4 linked regions of the Drosophila melanogaster genome follow. The protein of the gene in region 4 interacts with the protein of the main gene of each other region in a pairwise test. Each region holds a gene or a part of one and is shown on either strand. Other genes may lie near its edges. The genes, in order: Pkc98E, CG14634, nompB and CG12645.

Region 1 (4,930 bases), on a different chromosome or scaffold from region 4:
TGTCTTATCTTTGTCCTTGGTCTCCTTGTTCTTGCCTTTTTGTTTTCGCTGCTCCTTAGCCTTCTTTTTCTTCTCGCGCTTCTTCGACTTCTTCTTGGTCTTCTTCTTCTCAGGTTTTACCTCCTCCTCTTCGGATGAGGAGGGTTCCGAACTCGATGCTGAGTCCACTTCGGAAGTGGGCCTTTCAGGTGGCACTTCTGGTACCTTGAATTGGCTTTGAGCTGCAGGTTCTGTAGTAGCCGCTGCAGTGGAGCTCGTAGAATGATGTTCCGAGTAGCCCTCTGGCTCCTGCATGCCCACGCAGTAGGAGTTCTTGATGAAGGACTTGCAGCACTTGTAACCCCAGCGTCCGGCGTTCCAGAAACTGCCCCAAACTGTTGTGTGATTGTTGATATACACATCCTCCTCGTAGATACTGCGCGCTTTCGGTTTCTCCACGCCCTTGATAACCTTGCCGCTGCGAGAGTACTCGATGTACTCCTCGGTCTGCGCCAGCAATAGCGACTTTGGTGGAACCTGTAGATGCTCTTCGCCACCATATTTCTCCACAATGTGTGTTTTGGTCTGGAAAAATAAAGGAAATGGATATAGTAATGTTTCCAAGAAATTTCCATTTTCAATTACTTACACTTGACTTGAACTGTTCCTTCTTCTGCTCGTACTCCTTCTGAAGCAGCTCCAACTTAGTGGGCTCCGCTAGCAGATGCACATCAACCCCCTTGCCATGAGCTTCCCAGGCAAACAACTGGGCGGTGGCTTGGGCTGTAGTGTCTCCAGAAAAGCGTACAAAGTTCTCGCCAGCAAACTCAGCTCTGCAAGAATGAGTAGTTAAGAAATTTCTTTATATGTGCAACTTTTTGTTACTCACTCCTCTTCGGGGACAGCAGGATTGGGATTGTCACGCATGGAGCGCGTCTTGGGATCATAGTAGGCCGAGTTGGGATCCAAGTTCCTCAGGTACTTCGCCGTATCCTCGCGGATACGCAAGTTGCGCACTGTAATTCGCTGTTTGGAGTCCACTTTTGTGCCGGGCATGTCCACTTCGTCCACATATTTGTCCTCGTTGCCTTCCTCATCGGATATTTCAGCATCGGGATCTAAGGGGTACATGCGAATGATATTAATTCAACTATAAGCACTCTGAATTCACTTTTACCTACCATTTTTCAGCTTCTCTGCTTTAAGTTGTCGCTTGGCCTCTTCCACCTTTTCGTACTCCTCAATGATCTCTCTGTGATTGGCCGGATCGTAACTACTCCAGCGATCTCGTTTCTCGTCATAGTTCACCGCCGCTTCATTGACCAAATGCTCGTCGTGCACGACGATGGATTCAGCGTACTTGGCTTGGACTTTCCGCGGCCGCTCCAGGCAGTCCTTTCGTTTGTGTGTGACGGCGCCACAGTTCTCGCAGGCTCCCTTGCGGAACTTGGTAATGATGCGTGCGGTGTTAAGTCCTTTGGGCGCCCTCTTGTCCAGCTGTCCTTGCTCGTCCTCGTGCTGCGGTCGCTGATGCTTGAGAGTGGGCCCAGCCGATCCGTAATACCATGGTGCATTCGATATGTACTGCGGAATGTGGGGATTTATGTCGCGACCCTCCTCGTCGACGGCGGCCGGAGCTGTTCCCGCTTTTCGAGCCTCCTCCAGCTCCTTGGCCTTGCGCCAGTCCTCACGGGACTTCTTCTTGGGTTCCTCCTCGGCATCCTGGTCGTGCTTGCTCAGAATGATCTGCGAGACCGGCGTGCGCATGGGCCCCGAGCTCATATTGCCTGATTTTATTTACTAGATAATATTAGTTGTAATATTTATTTCTCTTTTATGTTATCGGTTATCGAAAAGTGTTGGCAAGCAGAGAAGCACTTGGCTTAACAGCGAAAGTGTTGGACAATCTGTAGCACCCCCACGATATGTATCGCCCACCTTGGCACATCGCTAACGTTTTTCCAATAAGAATTGGAGTGAAGTGAACATTTTTATCAATAGTAATACGCGAAACAGTTTTAAAGCCAATAAGAAAACTACCCAGCAATGCAACGGAAAATGGTGGACACTGTGATTTTGTGAAACTGTTCGAATTCGTTGGAAAACCAAGGAAATTGCCTGGGAAAACCAATAAATTTATAACGCTGTGCAAACGGGTGCGTTTAACTGTGTGCGTGCGTGTGTGTATAAGCGCATACATATGTCGAGCGTGTGTGTGTGTGTGCTCTAGTGTGAAGGCATCCTTAATTTTTTCGCACACATAGCTGAACACTTTTTCTCTGATATACAAGTTCCTGCGCGCGCATATGAATTATTTTATTCTTTTTGTTTCATTGTTGATTGCAATATTTTCTGCCTATTTGGTGTCGTGCATACCCATTTCACATAAACATTGTAAGGAAGCGTTTCAATAACTTTTCATTTGAAACGTTAAACATTTTCTATATACCAACAGTAGAGAGAGCAAGAAAATAAGAGAGTGGTATATGTATATAAAATCCATCGATGGGACTTTCTAAATATTACTCCGTGTGTGGTGCTTGATTGTGAAGCGAAAAATGTCAGCGAAACGTGTATCTCATAGCCAAGCGGAGTGGTTAGCATACAATTTAAAAAACAATGAAATATAATATTTGAACTACGAACATAGTGCGCATTTCGTATGTTTACCAACACTGCGTTCGTTAGTGTCAAGCTGACAGGTGGACAGTACGGCAACTCTGCCAGCTGGAAGACCTTCGTTTTCACCAATTAGAAAATTACAAATTTTCCAATTGGACGGGTTAGTTTAGTTAATTGAGCGCACTTATTGGCGTTTCGTCAGGTGTTTCCAATTGGAGTGGGCGTGAGACGCGCGTGTATTGGTGGGTGGCAGAAGTGCAAGTGAGAGGCATCATTAGAAATTCTTGTTGTTCTCTCTTTGTTGTTTAATCTGTGGAAAAAAGCTGACTGCGTGTGTATGTGTGTGTGAAAGTGTGAGTATATTTGCCATACATGAACACAAAGAATTTGCATAAAAAAGTGAGCAAGCAATGGCAATATACATATGTAATCAAAGCTAAACGACACTGAAAGTACCCAAGATTGTGTGCGAAGAAAAAGGGCAACTAAGTATGTACTTGTTCCCACCAAATTGCCAATTAGAAAACGCGTTATATCCCAATTGGATGCGCATTAGACTAGTGGCGAGACTAGTGTACACTAAACAACAATCTGTGGAATTGCGAAATAAACAAAGTTGCACTCCTTGGAATGATTTATACGCTAGAAATATTACCATAGCAGATGATGGTCGCGCACTATTTTCGACTTTTGTTCCACGGACTGTTGTCGTTTGAGCGATTGCCTAATGTACACACACAAACGGGCTGAAACACAGTGGCAGCCAAAATAGTAGTGTTGAATAGTAAAAGATGAAAAGAATTGATATTTTTGTAAGCTACAGATTTTCGTTTTGCAAAAATGAATGTACATTTTTTTCTGTGAATCATGAATCCTTTCAATTAAACCCAGAATAAGTCAGTAACATACTGAATCATAGTAGCGAAATTATTAATATTATTATCTGAATATACATCACATTTGAATTTTTTTAATAAATGCTATATAATAGTTAATACGCATCGTTAAGGAAATAAATAAATATATATGGTGCAAATTCCTTTAACATGTCATTACTATTTTGACCGCTACTGTGGGCGTAGATATGTGTGTGCACAAATTCCATCGATGCGAGGCTTAATCGACCTTGGGAGTGAATCGAGTATACCGCATACGCCATTCACGAGTGTCAATGACCTACGCCAACATTGGCCCACAGCGAAAGATGCGAATGGCAGTCAGGCGATTGATTAACCCATCCCGAATTGCTCTTCCTCCGATTGCAGATCAGGATCATCAGCCAGCCGCACACCACCACAAGCCGAGTGGTCCACCGCTGCTCCCCAAACAGACACGCAAGGACATCGCACGGAGGACCGAGGAGCAGCCGGATCACGAACAGGATCACGACCAGCAATAGGATCTAGTGCAGCCGAACGGGACATTCACCGATCGCACGACCATGTTCACGGGCAAGCTGCAGATCAAGGTGTGCGAGGCGAGTGGCCTGCGGCCCACAGACTTCCAGAAGCGCCACAATCTCACCTTCGGCAAACTGGCCGACGAGCAGCTCATCGACCCCTATGTCTCCATAGATGTCGACGAGAGTCACTTCGGTGAGTGTCCTCCCACTTCGATTTCAGCTCAAATATTCAAATATGGTTGGGAAACAAAAGTCAGTTAGATAGTTACAAATGTTAGTTACCTAGCTAAAGTGTTGCATACTTAAATGGGATTTGGCAGCTAACTTTATTTATTATTTCATTATCTGGTTATTTTGTTACGCACAGATCGAGCCACCACGCGGCCAAAGACATTCGATCCTGTTTGGAACGAGCAGTTCGTCCACGACGTGACCAATGTGAGCAACATCAACTTGACCGTCTTTCATGATGCTGCTCTGCCGCCGGATGACTTTGTGGCCAACTGCATCATCTCCTTCGAGGACCTCATGCAGAGCGAGACGGCTGTGCAGGATCTATGGGTGGGTTTCGAACATATAGTAGCTAAATCTCTAGGAATACTTATACTTACTTTTACTTCTTGAAACCTCTCAGGTTAACTTGGAGCCGCAAGGCAAGATTCACGTCATCATTGAGCTAAAGAATCGCACGGGTACGTAGCGAAATAAAGATTTGAACAATGTTCAGCGAATGCTGATCAATTCCATCTGATTTCAGATAAAGCCAAAGCCGAGGCCGTGGTGGAGCACACCGTGGCCGTCAACAAGGAGTTCAAAGAGCGCGCCGGATTCAACCGACGTCGCGGTGCCATGCGTCGTCGGGTCCATCAGGTTGGTGCCCATTTAACCAGTTGAGAATGAGCGTAACTAATATGTTTCCTTTGCTTG
Region 2 (2,898 bases), 9.3 Mb from region 4:
ATTTGGCAACAAAAAAAAAGCGGGTCCAAAGGAGATTATGGAACTAGCAGATACCCTATTCATAACCAATAGCTTGTGTAGCAAAGATTTAACCGGGTCCTGCTTTCTTCGCTATAACAAATTTATAGCGAAGTTTTAAGCTGGGCAAACTCTTTCCGAGCTTCCGGAAAAGATCACGTTTTTTCGTTCATCTCAAGTCGGAACAAGTCCCATCTCCATAAGCACCCCAAACACACACACACACATGCGCAGATAAACGAACACTGCAAATGGGAACTTCGAAATATACAGTTCTGAAACCGCAATGATGGGGTTGACCATGTGAGAAGGACGAGCCCCAATGCACAGTCCTAGAAATCCAGGGCCATGGGAACGAAACTCCCACCAGAACAGACACATCACTTTTAGAATTACACGAGTAACAATGCCAGTCAGTTCACCCCAACCCCCCCCCCCCCTTCCGTACGTTTTTCTGGTTTATTTTCCCCTTTTAGCCTTACTCTGCGTTTTTCCGTTATGGGCCTGCAAATGACATTGATATTTTTCCAGTTTGCCATATTCGCGAATTCGGGGAAATGCGGAAAAGTGAGTAGAGTAAACATTTAGATTGAAAAGGCTGTACTCTTGATATTAGAGATTCGCAACTTTTTTCACGGGATTTTGTGTACATTAAATTTATTTGGCTTAAGTCAAGAGAAACATGTGTATCGCTTCACTTAGAATGAAGTGAATTAAACAGGAAATCCGCTGTGACTTGTGTGACATCATGGCAACTGCTTTCCCTTTCGGCACTTTCACCAATTTCACCAATTACCCCGCATCCTGTGGGTTGTTATCGCCGTACAAATACTTTGCCCACGTAAATCATTCATAAAAGTATAAATGTAAAGCAAAGTAAAGGGGATGGGGTTGTTCTTTTCGGCTTTTGTATTCAGTTTCAACTTTCGTATAATTACAAAACTCATTAGTGCAGAAACTTTTTGGTCGTCGACCCTTGGAAAGTATGCACTGCTAATTGAAATTGAAGTTGTTAGAGACGGAGGACGCTGGTCGCAGCATTTTTGCCAAGTCGGATAAGCAAACAGACCCCAGCAGACCATAGAAAACTCACCCTCTCATCTGAGGAGCTGGCCATATAGAAGGTTCTCTGGACTTCTGGAGACCGTAGAACATGCTGTTGGTCTTTTAGCCCAAGCGCAGTGCCTTGAGGATCAGCGAATTTTTTTTCTAAATGCAGACCGTGGAGTGTCCCATTGCGGGGTCTCCGCTTGCCACCTCCCTTCGCAGAAGTTCAGCATCCGTTCAAATGAACACCTTCAGCCGAAGCAGGTGCTGGATGGCTTATGGCATTGCGCTGGCATTGGCATCGAAGATCTCCTCGCTACACGTCCATCTCGTCTTTCACAGCCACCATCATCGGCTTTGATGTGAGTGTCGCATGGCTCACTCTTTAAATTCAATACGAAACTGGTGTGAAACCCGCGCTCTGCGCCTGATTTGCATTCGCAAATTGGTAATACAATAGGTAGTCGTCGGCTGCCGTTTTTCCCTCCCCTCCAACCGCCGAAACCCGATAGTCCTGATAGCGTGCACTATATACTGATTGGAGTGCGGGGCATTTGTGAAATTAACATAAGTGACACCATTTTGCATAATGGGAGTCTCCGAAAACAATTGTTGGGGGGCACCAGTCTAGTCCGATTCCGGGGAACACAACTGTACCCACAACAAACCCGCCGGCTATAAAAGCAGACAGCTCTGGGTTGCACTGCCTCAGTGGGAAGCTCTCCTTTCAGCTAAAAGCTGCGGGCGGCACAACATAAATAAAAGGGCCCTAACAGGTGGGAACTAAACCATCAGGTGATGGGTAACTTGACTTTGGCCTGGAAATTCTTTTATTGACTGCTGACGAAATCAGCCTGGCACATTCCCCCATCTTCGGCACTTCTACTTATTATTTCTAGCCACAGAAATATGTGCTTTCTCTTCCCACTTGGCTGCTGCGGCTGCTCCTCATCGAAGCCTTGCCAAAAGAATGGAAAGCAGCGGCAAGTGCAGCACCAGCCGGACGTCCTGGGGAACGTGATATCCACGGAGCCAGGCTACTTCAACCAGGTGACCATCAGCCAGCCATCGCTACCCAGCATGAGCCCCAGTTCAGTGTCACTGCCCCACCGAATAGTCACGTCTAGCACCTTGAGCTCCTGGGACGGCGAAGTCTGGTGGCCCAAAAGGGACTCCATCGAGGATTACTAATCCATAGTATCTTAGCAGAATTGATTAGCGTATCGCTGCACTACATAAATGTACGACTTACAAAGATGTTTGTCAAAAACTCTTATATTTAATGAAACTACCGACTCTGTTTTTAGTTCTCACAAAGAGTGTACCTATTATTTCTTTTCTCTGGCCACAAAAACCAAAAGCACAAGAAGACAATTCTTTTTCGCCTCCGCGAGTCGCACGTAGCCCCTGTTGGAGTATGCATTTTTAAAATGAAATTACTCCACGTTTTGCGGGAGACAGAGGTAAAGGATTCTTGTGGTTAAGACTGTGTAATAAAAATTTGATTAGCTGCTTGTTTAACTTTAATTAAGTTGATTTCGCACACACACTGAACATAGGAAAGTTAATCAAATATTTAGCAGGACCTCTTTGCCGTTTTCCCGTACGAGTGCCGCAGGGTTAAATTCTGTTTGGGCTGGGCGTATATTAACATTTTGGCTAAGCAAACTGGCGCAAGCAAACAAACAAATGCCAGAATATTCATGATGATCATTAACACACAGGACGCACAGGACACACAGCAGAAGAGAGCTAGCTTCCAGGATATGCAGTCCAGGAGCAGCCTGTGACGCCTGCGAACAAATTTGCACAGCCTTCGGGCGGGAGTTTAAG
Region 3 (5,062 bases), on a different chromosome or scaffold from region 4:
ATCTCGAATTGATATATTGTTAATTGTTATATTTGTTTTATTGTTTTGTTACAGCTAACTTTTGTTAGCCGGCGCTCCTGAAAGGGCTGAATTAATAACGACCAAGGTGACAAAGGGGTTAATAAAGTCTATAAAAAAAAATTAAATAATTTTATTCTTTATTTACTGTCTACAGGCCGGAAGCGTTTTCTCTTGTACTTCAATAAATAGGAGTTTTTATACCCGTTTATCGTAGAGTAACTACTAGATTCGTTGAAAAGTATGTAACAGGAAGAATGAAGCGTTTCCGACATTATAATGTACATGTATCTGTATTCTTGATCAGGATCAATAGCCGAGTAATGTCCGTCTGTCTGTCTGTCCGTATGAGCGTGGAGATCTCAGGATTAAGCATGAATTTTCTAGAGACAAACCCGCAGCGCTAGTTTGCTTCCAAATATTGAAATTTTGAAAATTGAAATTAACAATATTTGATGTAGTTGTGATTGTGATACGTCAGCAATGTGTAGGTGTCTTGCTCTTAATGTTTGGGTCAAATCCCGAATGATACCCCTGAGTGTACTAAAGAAATTTATATTTATTTTATTGGAAAAATTTTAAACATAAAGTGGGCTTTAAAACTGTCTTTTTATTCTGTCTTTTTTCATTCTTCTCTCTGTAAACTCTACAAAAAAAAAAACAAGGGAGAATGCTATATTCGAGCATATATGTATGTATATAAAGTCTTAAGCATTTCCAAGCTTATCAGGAACAAGCAATGATCTACTCCTGCCTTTTAGTCGATTATTATGTAGCGAGTTAACCAAAGTCTGAATACTAGCCAACTTATATTACGTTTTACATAATACAAACTATAGACCACAAATAATGTATAAAAATCTAGAGGAAAAAATTGTGAAGCTCTTGGAGTCATCTATAGTTTTGGCCTGGCAACGCTCACCCAATAAATTATTGAACCTGGATACAAAATTGGCCGAGGCATTGAGTAAAGCCAAAGAAGCATTCTCATTGGATAGAACATTACACCAATTTCGAGACCAGCACGGTGAAAATGTTTATCACAACTTCGATTTGACATATGCGGTAAGCACGACTAGAAGGATAATTTAAAACTTTAATATATATGGACTATAGGTTTTTTTTAATCTCGCGGAGCAATACGAACGGAGTGAGATGCACATCGAAGCCCTCAATACCTACAGCATTATGGCCAAAAACAAGATGTTTCCACACGTCAATCAGCTAAAACTAAATATGGGTAACATCTACTACAGCATGGGTATTTACCAAAAGGCGGTTAAAATGTACCGCATGGCCCTTGATTCTGTACCAAAGAGCTTAAGTCAGTTAAGGCTAAAGATCCGTGAAAACATTGGAATCCTTTTTATTCGCATGGGCTCTTATTCAGATGCTGCTTCTAGCTTTGAGTTCATCATGACGGAGCGGGCAAACATTAGAAGTAGCATTCACCTCTTACTCTGCTACTTCGCCTTGGGCGATGTGGAGAAAGTAAAGTTAGCCTTTCGGAGACTTTGTGATGTCCAAACCGAAGCAATAGAATCGGATATGGAGAGTGAGACGAATATCATTAAACTTCAACAGCAGGCTGAGCCGATTCAACAATGTGGCGAAATCGACGTGCACCAGACAACGAACAAGACACGAGCTCGGTTATAAGCGCAGAAGGTGGAGGTAAACCATACGGTATGGTCCATACCCGTTTCTCGTAGAGTAAAAGGGTATACTAGATTCGTTGAAAAGTATGTAACAGACAGAAGGAAGCGTTTCCGACTGATAATAATATTTTAACAATTGAAATTGGGTTTTATGTTTTATATTAAATCAGATAACAATTAACTAAACTTATTCAAACTTTTATAGAAATGTCTTAGTATAAAATGATAAAATAAACCAAAATGATTTGGTTTAATAAATACCGCAACCTTCTTACATTATACATTTAATTGGTATTTATTCACCTCTTTTACGCATGTGCTGCTTATACGTGATCACCAAGGCAACTCAACCAAAACAAAGACCAACCCCCAAAACCGTTCATATTGATTGAGAACCTTATTATACGCGTGTAGTGCGGTGAGACAAAAATGACTTCTCAAATAACTGCTAACGGAACGCAAAGATTACCGGAGCCTGTTTCCGAACATGAAGCGGTTCCGCCTCCCCCACCCACGGCGGCGGGCAGACCCAGACCCCCCACTTCACAGCTTTTTTCAGTGAGTTTTGAAAAAAAAAAAATTTAAAACGCTGTGTAATTTCTGTAATTCAGCGCGGCAATCTGGCCAGCAGTCGGGCAACAGGAGGCGATAAATCAGGTCTTGCAAGACCATCAACAGCAGTCCGGGCTGTGGGCTACGCTGCTAATTGCGAGTCTGCTCATCAAAGGTTCGAACAATTTTTCCTGGAGAAGGCGAAGCAACAAACGCTCTCGTCAAGAGCCGCTGTGGATGCCATAAAGGATGTAAAGTAAGTAAGAAAATTATTTTTAGAGGACGGTTGCATCAAAGGGGTTATCAAAAATCGTAAAAAAAAAATAAATAGAAAGGTACTGAAGTTAAAGGTATACTGAATCTATATTCATGTATTTATTCACTTGCACCTTATAAACTTACAAGCATACAGAGGTGGTCAAAAGTATTTACACAACGTGCTTTTTTTCTGTTGTCAATTGTCAAGAAGTGGAAAAAATAACTGTTCATGGGCTAAAAATAGAAGCATTAAACTTGTCTGTTGTCAGAAGTATTTACACACAATTTTTAAGCTTCAAAATTATTTGCACAGTGCAAATTGAAGATTAGTCTAGTAAAGTTCTAGTTGATGTTGATCGCTTAATTGGAACTTAAACTAACTGTTAACAGTTATGTTAATAGATAAAACTAAGCATTAAATTTGTAAAATGGCAAAAACAAAGGAGCTATCAGTTGAGCATCGAGCCGAGATTGTCACTAAAATTAAGGCTGGTACTTCTGCATCCAAATTAGCTGAGTTATACAAAATATCACGTAAAACTGTGTACAATTAGGTAAAAAAAAAGGACATTGGATTGGGAATTTTGGAAAATAAAAAGAGAACTAACCGAAAAGTTGCATTGAACCCAAGAGACTGCAGACACATTATAGGAGTTGTACTATATAATCCCACCATAAGTCCCGTTAAAATTGCCGCAGCATCGAAAAATTTAGTTAGAGAACATATTAGCGATAGTACACTGCGTCGCAGAATGAAGGAAGTTGACATCAACTCCTATGTTATTCGTGCAGTATTTAATATTACCCCAAGAAACAAGGAAAATCGTCTGGCATTTGCCTTGGAGTAAAAAGAGAAGCCTCTCGAATTCTGGTTTGATATTTTATGGACTGATGAAGTTGCGTTTCAGTTTCAGGGATCCTTTAGCAAGCAATTTATGCATTTCCCAATACAACTAAAGGGTAATGCCGTTCAGCCAATCAATCGGTTTGGTGGTGTCACGGTGATGTTCTGGGGCTGTTTAAGCTACTATGGGTTTGGAGACATGGTACCGATAGAGGGTACAGTAAATCAAACAGGATACCTCCATATCTTAAATGAGCACGCATTGACCTCAGGAAATAGACTGTTCTCCAAGAATGACTGGATCTTGCAGCAGGGCAATGCTCCATGCCACAAGGGCCGAGTACCAACCAAGTTCTTGAAAGACATAAATCAGGCGGTACTTCCATTGCTCATATTCCATATAAAATATTTCGTTTAAATTCAATAAAAAAGGCAAAAATGAATTAAAAAAGCTGTGTGTAAATAATTATGAATTTTTTAACATAACATAATTTTTAAACATAGTGGAATTTAAAAATGTTATTTTAATTCTGTCTTTTTTCATTCTTCTCTCTGTAAATTTTACAAAACAACAAGGAAAAGTCTTAAGCATTTCCAAGCTTATCAGGAACTAGCAATGATCTGATCCTTTTAGTCGATTATTATGTAGCGAGTTAACCAAAGTCTGAATACTAACCAACTTATATTACGTTTTACATAATTCAAATTATAGCCCACAAATGAAGTATAAAAATCTAGAGGAAAAAATTGTGAAGCTCTTGGAGTCATCTATAGTTTTGGCCTGGCAAGGCTCACCCAATAAATTATTGAACCTGGATACAAAATTGGCCGAGGCATTGAGTAAAGCCAAAGAAGCATTCTCATTGGATAGAACATTACACCAATTTCGAGACCAGCACGGTGAAAATGTTTATCACAACTTCGATTTGACATATGCGGTAAGCACGACTAGAAGGATAATTTAAAACTTTAATATATATGGACTATAGGTTTTTTTTAATCTCGCGGAGCAATACGAACGGAGTGAGATGCACATCGAAGCCCTCAATACCTACAGCATTATGGCCAAAAACAAGATGTTTCCACACGTCAATCAGCTAAAACTAAATATGGGTAACATCTACTACAGCATGGGTATTTACCAAAAGGCGGTTAAAATGTACCGCATGGCCCTTGATTCTGTACCAAAGAGCTTAAGTCAGTTAAGGCTAAAGATCCGTGAAAACATTGGAATCCTTTTTATTCGCATGGGCTCTTATTCAGATGCTGCTTCTAGCTTTGAGTTCATCATGACGGAGCGGGCAAACATTAGAAGTAGCATTCACCTCTTACTCTGCTACTTCGCCTTGGGCGATGTGGAGAAAGTAAAGTTGGCCTTTCGGAGACTTTGTGATGTCCAAACCGAAGCAATAGAATCGGATATGGAGAGTGAGACGAATATCATTAAACTTCAACAGCAGGCTGAGCCGATTCAACAAATTGGCGAAACCGACGGGTACCAGTCTTTAAACAACGAACCAGTCACGGGCTCGGTTATTAAGGCAGAAGGTGGCGGTAAACTGAACGAGACCGTAAAGTTTGCAGCCACAGTGAAACATCGTTATGTTGTCCAAGCACTTAAGAAAGACGAGCTGGCCGTATATAGAAATGAACGTCGTAATGCCGTTAAACGATCTATTACAATGATTGTAGACTTAATATCACCTTTTATCGAAGATAACTATAATGATGG
Region 4 (3,664 bases):
CAGCAGTAGCAATAATAAACTGATGCGTGGACAAAGCGGCGTATACTTGATGCGATTGAGTTTTAGCTTCCACATTATTCCACCAGCTCGGCCATAATGCTCTTTTGGTCATTATTGTTGTTGGCGGCACCGTGAACCGACTAATTGTCGAGCTCTGTCCTTTTGTTTCTCGGCCCCGCAGCTGTGGCCTAGTCAATCCATCCATCCATAGCTGGGCTTTCAGTAACGGTTTTTGGCCCATTCGTCGAAGGCCATGTTGCGCTGAAGGCTGCAACGTACGAGGCGCTAATTGAATTTGCTGCCACCGCTGGCCAATTGCAGTACCAAAAATTGAACAAAGCCGCGCAAAGCACTGAAATAGGCAGAAACCTCGAAAACAAAAAAGCGCAACTGGAGGCCAAACAACTGCGGATGGTTCAAATTCTGGGGACACTCTTCTCGATTTCGGGTATATAAGTTCTTGGCAAAAGATTGCATTTGCCCTTTTGCCCAATTACATAATAGTTTCTTAGACATATTTATAATTTTATTGTTATATTTAAGTAATTGTATCTAAATTGAATACTCTCTTCTTTTTTTTGCAGGGTATCAAATAACGAACAGCATCCACAACAACCAGCACTCGTTGGCAGGATGTGCGAAACGGAGTGATGATGAGGCAATTTGTTTAGGCCAGTTATGCATCATTTGGGCGACAGGGCAGTTCAGTACAGAGCATGGCAATGGTAATCGGTGTATGGTGTCCGATGTTGAAAGGATTGTGGATTGTGGATTGCGGATTGAGGACGAAGGACGATGGGCTTAGGTAGGCAATTCGATTTGACGGCGCACAATTTCCGGTCGCGCCCGGCACTGCGTTACTCATTACAAGCGAATAAGCGCCAAGTCCTTGCGGTCAGAAGCGCGTGCCGCCCCACTCAGCTTTATTCGCACACACGGAAAACTTTCACAATTAGCGGCCGGATTCCGGCTGCGATCCTGCAGGATATTTCCGGACTACCGCCGCCGGCAGCAGCAGCAGCAGCAGCTCCTCGGATAATGTGCGCCCAGAAAGATCTCGCAGGCGGAGCAGTAATGATTCGTTGTCCGGCAGCCATTCCATAGATACGGAAACAGGCAAGCGCAGCAGCACCAACTGAAAACAAAAACATAGATACATATATACGGATATGAGTATATCAAAGTTCGAGGTATGTAAATCGAAAGTTACTTTATCTATTTCCATTATTTCATACGATTTTTGAAAGTTTACTCATCATTTTGTTCATATTTAGTGTTAAGTACTTGAAACTTAGCACTTCTGAAGCTAACAACGTTTTGGGTTAAAAGTTAGTTAAAATTTTCAAACTAATTTAAATACCCAACTCACCCAAAAGTGCACAAGCAGAGGGCCCAAAGGTTAGTCCGAGCATTAGGTGACCTCTTCAAACGGGTGACTCCCCGTTGACCACAAGCTGGGCACACGATGTCCATCGCCTGGCTACCCAGTTTGGGTTGCGGGCTTAGGATAAAGAAATCTGGCCAATACACAATTTCAAAATATGCAATCGAATGAGTGTTCAGTTCATAGTTACCATCGCACTTACTTCTCACTGGTGGCATTGCACGATGATCGATGCTATTGTTGTCCGCTAATCCTTCCGATTGTACGCTCACCTCGTCTTTCGTTTGGGACATCGGCATCGGCATCGGCATTTCCTCCACCCTGGACCTTAGATGTTGGGGTTCTGCAAAAAGGGTTCTTCGCCGATCGTTGGAATAATCCAAATTATTCTGAATCGTAAACGTTTGCATTGCATCATAGTAGGTCGGCGGTTCCGATGGCGACAAGGACATGGGTCGCTCTATCTGCAGATCCTGGCCGGGATCCTGGTCTTGGAACAACATGCGATGCTTCTCTTCGGCCATTCCAAACCCTTCTGTTGGGCCAGTTTCGCCCTACGATGGTTTTTATTCCTTGGCAAAAAAGAAACAACCAGCCAAAAACAGTTGTCGATGATAGTGAAACATTCTGGGCCAATTAACCAGCTGCTAGCGATATCAACGAGTCACCCCAATAGAAAACTCCACAGTTGGTCAAAAAGTGCTTGAAATGGAAATGGTCTAGCTGAATCACCTTTATTTCATCGTCGTTGGAGAATATTGTCAGCTTCCGTTTCATTTCCTGTTCATAACTTTTGCAATATGTGCTGCTGACCGCTTGCACTGGCAACACAAATTTTCAAATGCTCAAAAATACACGTAAATATTTTTACAAAAATTTCTTAAAATTATTTGAAGTGTATAAATATCTCTTTAAAACGAGTTGCATAGAATGTTATGAATCAAAATCTTATAGTGTTGCTATTTCTCGCATAGAGTTTTCCACAATGTATTCCTGTTTGCGTATTCATTTTTGTTTTTCTGTTTTCCTTCAAGTTTTTTCAATATTTTCCAACGACACGATGAGGATGGAAAAATGTGAATGAAATTCTGTTTGCCACTTTGCATTTAATTAACTTTATCGCATGCATGTAAATAGTATACAGGCGCAAATAAACTAAACAGGTATACGGCAAATTATAATGAAAACTTTCATTTGCATACGGATAACTGACATATCTGGATTAGGTAAAAAAATATACCTTTAGTTTATCCAAAAAAAAAAAAGGAACGTTCTTCTTTACATTGCTTAAACTAACATTTATCGTTGTCCGTTAAATGCCTGAACTTTCCTGATATTAAATTTGCCTGTTTTTTTTTTAAGGTCTTAAATTTTATTTATGAATTCCAGGGTGTGCCAACCTTTGATTTGCTTACTCCTGCTGTTGTTGTTCCGCCATCTGCCATTCAAATGGGAATCGGGTTTTTTTGGGATCGGGGCACTGAGAGCTGTCGCTGCATAAATTTGCAGTCCATTTCAAGTTGGCTCATCGCTTTGATGTTTGATTTATTGCACGCTGTTTGTGGGCCCAATGGGGGGGGGGGGGGGTGTGATAGGGGATTGAATAGGGGTCAAGGGGTTAAGGGGGGGTGGGGTCCGAGTGCCATGCCGTGGGCTTATCGGCCGACATGCCAGACAATTGTGAATAGCAACTGCAATTGAATTTGACAGCGGCGGAGTGAATGGGGACCAACTCGCGTATCAGGTGCTGACTTGGGTACGCAAATAAATGTATGAGGCGGGCAAATAAATCTGTAAAAGGGTTCGCATTCCATTATGGATCCTGACATTTGTCTATTTATGCATTCTAAAGGTCAGCTATCAGGGTTTAAAAATGGAGCTACATAAATAAGTTAGTTGTTAAAGGTTAACAGGGGCGTATCTTTATTATTGGATTATTTATTTATTTACATTTATTCCTGGCAGTTCATTTAGTTCATTAAATTCTTACATTCAAATTAAGAGCACTCATTTGGGCCACTCCTTGCTCGATAATCCCGACGATTGGCCTTCGTTTTTTGGGGGTCTTGGGATTTGGCTCAACATTCGTTCAACTGATTAAACTGTTAGCTTATTTTCGCACAGACCGCCTATAGCTCTCTCTCTCTCTCTCTCTCTCTCTCTCGCTCTCTCTAGCAGAAGCACCTTCTCTGTCGCACTGATTGCGGCTTTGGCTGAAAATGTGTGCAAATAATATTTCGTGTAATTGCAATTAGCGCCAAAAAGGTTTTCACCGTTCAC

What was found.
Region 1: the proteins of CG12645 (region 4) and Pkc98E interact in a two-hybrid assay, tested with the Drosophila melanogaster proteins (one large-scale study listed by BioGRID).
Region 2: the proteins of CG12645 (region 4) and CG14634 interact in a two-hybrid assay, tested with the Drosophila melanogaster proteins (one large-scale study listed by BioGRID).
Region 3: the proteins of CG12645 (region 4) and nompB interact in a two-hybrid assay, tested with the Drosophila melanogaster proteins (one large-scale study listed by BioGRID).

What each region holds. Positions count from the first base shown.
Region 1 is NT_033777.3:29,037,230-29,042,159, forward strand, and holds the start of Pkc98E (protein C kinase 98E), read left to right. Parts: upstream 1-1,926; 5' UTR 1,927-2,135; intron 2,136-2,600; exon of another isoform or gene 2,601-2,843; intron 2,844-3,866; 5' UTR 3,867-4,042; coding exon 4,043-4,196; intron 4,197-4,370; coding exon 4,371-4,564; intron 4,565-4,637; coding exon 4,638-4,695; intron 4,696-4,760; coding exon 4,761-4,873; intron 4,874-4,930. Other genes in the region: Slu7, read right to left, coding at 1-564, 629-812, 869-1,097, 1,161-1,761. UniProt on the Drosophila melanogaster protein: PKC is activated by diacylglycerol which in turn phosphorylates a range of cellular proteins. PKC also serves as the receptor for phorbol esters, a class of tumor promoters.
Region 2 is NC_004354.4:860,818-863,715, forward strand, and holds CG14634 (uncharacterized protein), read left to right. Parts: upstream 1-1,790; 5' UTR 1,791-1,841; intron 1,842-1,918; 5' UTR 1,919-1,974; coding exon 1,975-2,256; 3' UTR 2,257-2,383; downstream 2,384-2,898.
Region 3 is NT_033779.5:21,586,399-21,591,460, reverse strand, and holds the start of nompB (no mechanoreceptor potential B), read left to right. Parts: upstream 1-2,037; 5' UTR 2,038-2,105; coding exon 2,106-2,234; intron 2,235-2,287; coding exon 2,288-2,484; intron 2,485-4,042; coding exon 4,043-4,268; intron 4,269-4,319; coding exon of another isoform or gene 4,320-4,340; coding exon 4,341-5,061; intron 5,062-5,062.
Region 4 is NC_004354.4:10,151,856-10,155,519, reverse strand, and holds CG12645 (uncharacterized protein), read right to left. Parts: upstream 1,909-3,664; coding exon 1,575-1,908; intron 1,518-1,574; coding exon 1,370-1,517; intron 1,191-1,369; exon of another isoform or gene 1,136-1,190; coding exon 997-1,135; 3' UTR 511-996; downstream 1-510.